2 linked regions of the Drosophila melanogaster genome follow. The protein of the gene in region 1 interacts with the protein of each later gene in a pairwise test. Each region holds a gene or a part of one and is shown on either strand. Other genes may lie near its edges.

Evidence for each region.
Region 2: the proteins of anox (region 1) and CG15343 interact in a two-hybrid assay, tested with the Drosophila melanogaster proteins (one large-scale study listed by BioGRID).

What each region holds. Positions count from the first base shown.
Region 1 is NC_004354.4:21,317,228-21,321,154, reverse strand, and holds anox (anorexia), read left to right. Parts: upstream 1-1,858; 5' UTR 1,859-1,932; intron 1,933-1,941; exon of another isoform or gene 1,942-2,014; 5' UTR 2,015-2,027; coding exon of another isoform or gene 2,028-2,300; 5' UTR 2,301-2,359; coding exon 2,360-3,091; 3' UTR 3,092-3,219; downstream 3,220-3,927. Other genes in the region: SLIRP1 (SRA stem-loop interacting RNA binding protein 1), read left to right, coding at 2,028-2,300; Rpt6 (regulatory particle triple-A ATPase 6), read right to left, coding at 3,552-3,927.
Region 2 is NC_004354.4:8,271,587-8,275,561, reverse strand, and holds CG15343 (uncharacterized protein), read left to right. Parts: upstream 1-1,755; 5' UTR 1,756-1,807; coding exon of another isoform or gene 1,808-2,014; exon of another isoform or gene 2,015-2,150; intron 2,151-2,343; 5' UTR 2,344-2,354; coding exon 2,355-2,869; intron 2,870-2,940; coding exon 2,941-3,067; 3' UTR 3,068-3,238; downstream 3,239-3,975. Other genes in the region: CG1636 (uncharacterized protein), read right to left, coding at 200-294, 354-853, 936-1,282, 1,808-2,014; CG1632 (uncharacterized protein), read right to left, coding at 3,443-3,622.

The sequences.
Region 1 (3,927 bases):
GCGGAGATAAGATGAGACAAACAGATAAAGCAGAAAGTTGAGGATATATTGGGAGATTTGGAAGCGATGGTTTATTTCTCCTTTTGTGTATAGACTAACAGTTTTTTTTTAACAATCTAATTATGCATACATACTTGTCCATATATGTAGAGACCAGCTATTTTTATTAGACATTTTTTTCGCTTGTTTTTTTGGGTGTATATTTTGATTATAATATCAAATAAAAACTCTTGAACACAGACAGTATATAGTATAAAGTATATATATACAGTATACAGTATATATATGAATGTAAAGCTGAGCAGAAGGCGAAGCCACAACATAAAGAACAAATTTGTCAAGTTATATATCATATTATTGTAATTTAAATCTAAGGCCACTTACAACAACAGTCTTGTAATTTCTATACCATGATAACAATTAACTATTATGACACTGGAGTTGTTTTTGTGCAGATACGAACTAACAAGACGAAGCAAAATACTTATAGTTATACAAATTAGTTAATTACGAAACTTAACTTGGACATCATTATTATGGATAATTATTAAATATGTAACCGATTCTGTATAGACTTACGTACGTTCTGCCCTTGTTTCCTGTACAAAACTAAACGGATGAAAGATCTTCAAGAGTTTCATTGCTTGCAAACCAAACATAACACTTTTCTATGGATAAGATTTTTGGGGAAGTTATATATTTACGACTAAGCAACAACCCACAACTATAAACTACTATTAAAGTAAACAACAACCGAGGAGCAAGCAAGTAAGGCAAAATTTATATTTTGTAAGGCGAGCCAAGTAGCGAAAAGAATTAAAAATCAAATTAATTCTGATAGGATCGGATCAGATCAGGTTAATGAGCCGCAGACTGGGACAGATATATATAGGGAGTTTAGAGAGCCAAATCACTAATTATACGAGAACCGAGTTAGTCTGAGAATTGAGAAATCGTGGCACATCATCCGAAGCATCACAGGATATTCAGGATATTCCGGGCAGCAGCAGAGGAATTAGGCGAGAGACAAAAAGAAACACGTGAAAACGGCTTCCATAGTTAATGTTATTTCCAAAAGCATAAATACACCACTCTAAACTAAACAACAAAAGCTTGCACACGCCCTTACCCCTAACCCCACCCTTATCCACTTGTTCTTTTGATCGTATTGTACATTTATAACAATCAATATTTGTTTATTTATTGCAAGGAAATCGAGAAAGATACGTGTATGCGATGTTGTTAATTTTAAGTAGTTGATAGCAAATTTGTTAAACTGAAGAGTAATGAAATAAATAAGAAAGGGAAAGGGAAGGGAAAATCAGAAAAAGAATTACAAAAATAAAACAAAATCATGCAAAATCAAAAATAAAAAATGTGTTTTCTTTGATCTGCCGTTTGAATTTGGCGCTCCCTTTCCGTTCTACAGAACTTCGTCGCTTAACAGATTGCTAGTAAGAACCTGTTAGTGCGAATATGTGCTGTTAAGCGCACAAATAATGAATGAAAGCAGCTTATGCTTACTAGACATCAGCGATTTGATACTCTATTTGGATGAATATTATGACATTAAGAAAAATGATTAGCACGATAAAGATTTAAATTAAATCGATTCTGAGAGATTAATCTATTGAAACCAATAGTTTTAATTTATAGACATACAAAATAATTATTCTATTTGCATGAACTACTATTTTAGGAGTAATGTAGCTTAGAAGTCATTACATTGGCTTTCAAACCAATTGATTACATTTAACTAATTATCTGTACGCTCCTCTGCAGTATTGATTACATATATGAACAAATGTACTCCGACATGTAGGGTAATAGCACTGCGCTGTTAGCTGCCTCTTTGAGGTTATGTCTCTCTGTCGACAAAAACAGCAAGTTGACGTGAAACAGAAACGCAGCAGTATTTACGCAACGCAACTGGTAAGGAGTCGCCGGGAATCCAGATCGCCTTGGCTGGAAGAAGCAGAAAACCATATTTAATTCGAATTCACACCTCATTTAGCAAAACCGAGTCCATGGCCACCGCCGCAGCTGTAGCAAAAGTCGGAAAATCAGTGCACCGCATTTTCGTGGGCAATCTACCGTGGACAGTGGGCCACCAGGAGTTGCGTGGCTACTTCCGCGAGTTCGGACGCGTGGTGTCCGCCAACGTGATCTTCGACAAGCGAACGGGGTGCTCGAAGGGCTACGGTTTCGTTAGCTTCAACAGTTTGACCGCGCTGGAGAAGATCGAGAACGAGCAGAAGCACATACTGGAGGGCAACTACCTAAACATACAGAAATCTTAGATTCCCCACTTTAATTGTCATTTAGTTTATAAGCTCAGCAGATTTTTTTTTTTTTTGACATGTCGGACAGCGATACGGACACCGTGGACGAGCTTTTCCACCTTGCCACCGAGCATGTGGCCAAGCAGTCAAACAGCATTGGTTCCGCGGACCTTTTAATATTTTACGGATACTACAAGCAGGCCACGAATGGCCCCTGCAAGGAGCAAAGTCCGGGTCTGCTTCAACTGCAGGCCAAGAGCAAGTGGCAGGCTTGGCGCAATCTGGGAACAATGTCCCAGTCCGCTGCCCGGCAGGCCTACGTCCAGAAGCTGCAGGAGCTTCAACCCAACTGGCGGTCCCGGCGCAACCCAGGCTGGGTCGTTCATTCCATTGAGTCGGTCCCACTGGAGGACCAACGTTTGGACAGTGAAAAGACCCTGTTTGACCACGTGAAGGAGAACAATCTAGACAGGCTGAGGGAACTGCTGCAGCCAAGTGACTTGGTTAAGCTGGACGAGCATGGCATGGCGCTCATCCACTGGGCTACCGATCGCAATGCCGTCGAAATCATACAGTTCCTGGTGCGGAGTGGGGCCAGTGTAAATCAGCGAGATGCGGAGCAACAGACTCCGCTGCACTACGCCGCCAGTTGTGGACACTTGGAGGCGCTCCAATGCCTGTTGGAGCTACACGCCAGCCTGGAGCTACGCGATTCAGATGGACAGACTTGTTACGACGTGGCTGACGATGAGCAGATCTGCCAGGTGCTTCAAACGGAACGGGAACGACTCGCTGGATCCGCGTCCTAATGTCAAAATCTTAAGTTGTTCGGTGCTCATTTGCTTTAAAAACAGCAAGGTGTTGTGAACCATTGTAAATCTCCGACAAGTCCCCTGTAAGTTCTTTGGAACTATAATAAACATACATACATAAATGTAATTTTGGAAGTACTTTCCTTTCGGATTTTTAGGAATCATTGAGATCGAAAAAACATAAAAAAGAAAGAGATGGATAACCTCTCTTTTTTTGTTCTGATCAAGCAGCCAGTTGAAAACACTGCAATGTACTTTTTACAAAGCTGCTACTGTAATCTGATAATCTATTCAATTCTTCAGATATCATTGAACGAAAGTTATCTGTGAAGATCATAATTGGGTTGTGCGTACTGACTAAGGAGTAAATCCAATGACACAATAATGCATTTATGTTACTAACTGATGTATTTATTGAAAATAATATAAGGGTTCTTTTGCAATGGCCGATCAACGCCTACTTCCACAGCTTCTTGATAGACATGTTCTTCTCCGAGTCCTTCTGCATCACCTTGGCCACAGCCATCTCGAAGTCCTCCTGGGTGACATGGACGCGTCGTTCGCGCAGCGCATACATGCCGGCCTCCGTGCAGACGCCCTTGACTTCCGCACCTGATGCGCCTGGCATTAGCTCGGCGATCTTGCGCAGATTAATGCCACGCGTGAGGTTCATCTTACGGGAGTGGATCTTCAAGATGTCCAGACGCGCCTCCTCGTTTGGTGGCGGGAACTCGATCTTGCGATCAATACGGCCGGGACGCAGCAGAGCGGGATCCAGGATGTCAATGCGATTGGTGGCCATGATCACCTTGATGTTCTTGGTGGCCTCAAAG
Region 2 (3,975 bases), about 13 Mb from region 1:
AACGCACTGTTCGCGCTGATCGCGTTCTAGCTAACACGCATAAACCGAAATCAGCCTGAGTGAGAGAGAGAGAGAGAGCGCTAGTTTCAACTTTGTGAGTTATTAGCCTAAGCTGAACTTGTGTCTTTTTTGGTTTGGTTTAAGGAAATGTGGTTTTCTACTGTGTAAAAGTGTGCTGCGTCCGTGCGGTAGGACGCGATTAGGTATCAATGGCCTGGTCATCGTTGTCATCCTCCGGCTCATGGCCACGTCCCTCGCGAATTCGCTTCAATTTGCGCTTAAGCATCATGACGCCTGCCAGGGAAAATGATTGTTAATCAGATATTCAACATCGGTTAGTGCAGGAAGCTTACATTTTATGGCCTGAAAGGTTTTGGCCGAGGCCGAACTGGTTTCGGAGGGCAGCGAATTGGACGTGGTTCTAATGTGTGCCAGCTTTACCTCCAAATAGGCCTTCTTCAGTGTCTTGTAGTGCCGGAACTCACTGGTGTCCTTGACCAGGATGCACTTAGCCGCCGATCCCTCGCCCGAACAATCCGACGGCGCTGTGTGATATATCTGATGGTAGAAGTATTGCAGCACCGGCGAGTTCCAAATGGAGAGGCCGTACCACAACCAAATGGGCACATTCAGGGAAAGCTTAAAGTTCTTGGCGAACAGCGTGGGTATGAAGTACTTAAAGGGCAGTAGGTTGACAAACACATACGCCCACACCATGATGCGCAGACCGAGGAAAACCTGGTAGATGATCCGGTGTGAATTGGTGCTGGGCAGGACCAACAGGGCTAGCACCTCGGTGAGTATGCTGTACAGACCCACCGTTAGATTCAGGCCCACAAAGTAGTTTTCGTACCTAAAAATAAAGAGTATTTAATATTTTCGAGCTTAAATGGCTCCAGGCTAGAATGGTAGGGACCAAACGTGTCTCGACTTGCCTGTAAACATCGATGGCGACGAGGGACAGCAGGTAGAGTCCCTTGGAGCCCACCTCCAGGAAGTCAGCGTCCTTGAAGTCCAACCACGCCCCATGCAGGTAGAACGTGATAATGAAGATCGAGTAGAACTGAAACTTTTCCGCCTGATGAGATCGATAGAAGATCAGGTTCTCCGAGGAGTAGAAGAGCGAGTAGCGTCCTTGGTTCTTCATCAGCTGCGGCAGGATCATGAACTCGTTGTAGAAGTGCAGGAACAGGCAGCTGGCCGCATAGAAGGCGATGTTCCAAATGACGCGGGCGAACAGCCTCCGCTGAAAGTGCTTCATGCTCGACGACTTCAGAAAGAACTGAAAAGGGAGAGGAGCAATTAGTCGAGCATTGGTCTTGGGTCACTACAGATAATGGTTTATATGGCTTATGGTCAGCGCCGATGGGTCGACTGTCACCGGACTTATGCTATCACCAAAGCCAGGAGCGAAGTGCCAACCGAATGGGGAAGGAAGTACATCTGAATCCCTTAAACAATGACTGTCGGGAGTAAAATCAATACTATCTTCGCCTTATATTGATTTTACAAGAGACAACATATTTAAATAATAATCATTTACAGCTTAGTTGCAAGCCAAAACAATACAAAAAGTGCCGCATTTCGTTGTGTTTTGAAGCTTTTCAAAGGGTTGGTAACAGTATTTTTAGCGCCCCACTCGGTTGGCACCCCGTCCACCCCCGGAATGCGCGAATCCGGCACCGTGTCCGCTCTGTTTATTTATAAACGGCAAATTGGCCGAGCAACCCCTCAAAAGAAAAGTGCAATTGGAGGCGCCGCGTCGAGGGTGCTGCGATTGAAAGGATTTGCCACGTGCTGGACCCACCTGGAAGAGCCGCTGGAAGGCGTAGTAGCCGCAAGACAACGCCACGAATATCCAAAAGACCCCGTTGATCAGGTAATAGAGGTCTATGTCCCGCACCATCGAATCGAAGCGGTCGTTGGTGATCAGGTATTTCAGCGGCAGAAAGAAGTTGCTGATCTCCGCCCAGTAGTCGGGCGGACCGGCCTTCATGTCCAGAATGGAGGTCATGCTGCTCCTCGGCGGGATTTCCCGTTCTGCCGCCCCAGAATCGCGAGTTGGTGTTCCTCGTTTTCAGCCGAAAATTGGGAGAATTTGTTTCGTTTCTATGTATCGATAGTAACCGATAGCTTCGCAAATATAACGTGAAATCAACGGCTATCGATTATAGAACCGCTGCAAAGTACTGCGCTTCTGTTACAGTGCTGTTAGCGTTAACAGCGCGCAAAGTGCGCCAAATTTGAATGACAGTACATTACTTCAGTTATAAGGGGCTTTACCAATTAACATTAAATGTGTATTACATTTTCAAAATGTATAAGAATATTTTTCGCTTCAAGGACCCACCAATATGACCTCCTCTTTGGCCAAAATCGAGGACTTTCCCTCCGATCCCGTTGAATTTTTTAAGGAGATCCTTCAGGAAGCTGCCAAGGGACATCCCGATGGATTCATACAGGAAATGAACCTGGCCACCGTGGACGAGGAATTCGGTGTGCTCAACCGCACTGTTCTGTACCGCGGACTCACCCAGGATAACTGTGTGTTCTACATCACCCATCGGTACGTTCGCAACTTCAAGAACCTTCAGGCCAATCCCAAGGCCTGCATCACCTTCTATATGCCAGATGTTAAGGATAAGGCCGGAAATCAGAATGCCTGGCAGGTGAGATTGATTGGAGCCACCGCCGTGGAACTTGACCAAAGCGAAATGGATGCTTTGTGGGCGAAGGAGAATTTGGCTGCCCAAATCAGGGGTCACATCTGTCCCTGTGGAGAACCGATTAACTACGATGATCTCAAGGCAAAGCACGATCAGTTCCTTCTGGATCACAGAGGAAAATCCATCGAGAGACCAGCAAGCTAGTGAGTTTCGAAGTTTATATGTATATCTATATTTAGTAAATTAACATATACATAATTACAACTTCTTCTAGTACCGCTTGGAAATTCCAACCGCAGCGTTGGGACTTCCTGAAGGTGGGTCTCGACCAAATCGCAGACCGGGTGCAGTACCGCCTTCAGAAGGATGGGAAATGGAAATCCATGCACGTGTCCACCTAATTGTGGTATACCCCCAGTAAAGCCATTATCTTGATTTTGGACGATTTCATTTTATTCAACAATATCTTTCTACAAACAGCTAAACGTACAGACTAACAACTAAATTTGCTTCCTTTTCGACATGTTTAACATACAATTACAACATAGTTAATAAATATTACACAAAACAGCAAAAAAAAGGACGTTTAAAGAATACAGTTAGCATAGAGTTACATAGGTTCGAGTAACATTAGAGCAGGTTAGTTACATAGTACATATGCTTAATTGCCTTACTTGCTTTGCTACACACACACATAATACCCAGTGAGTTTCGGTTCCGTTTTCTACACAAATGCGCTGAGGGGCGTGCCGCCGCCCCCTGGTGAACTATCCCGACTATATCGCGCTGATCGTCTCGCGGATCCAGGCGGCATTCGAGGCGATCTTGTCGTACATCCTGGGCCGCTCCACGCCCGTGGGTCCGCACGCGATCCGCCAGGAGGAGACCCCAATGAGCGCCCACTGATTCGTTCCGGGAATCAGGCACTGGACAGGCGCTCCCGAATACTCCTCTTGCTGAAAATGAACAATATGAAATTCAAAATATAATAATAAAATATAATTTTGGTCCACTCTAAAAAATGATATATAGTTTAAATTTTGGTTGCCAACAGTTTCTGTCCACTTTCAAATTAAATATTTTAAAAATAATTTTGTAATATTATAATAGGATCCACTCTGTTTTTTCAATATTTCACCATTGAATTAAACTCGTGCCACCCCAATTGGCGATCGTGACGTCACACGCACGCGACATGCAGCAACGCGCTTGGCGTAGAGCAACAAAAACAAGCAGTCGAAGCAATAACAAAGTTGAATGAGTAATTTTTGCTTCTCTTTTTTACTCTCTCCAATTGCCATTCAATGTG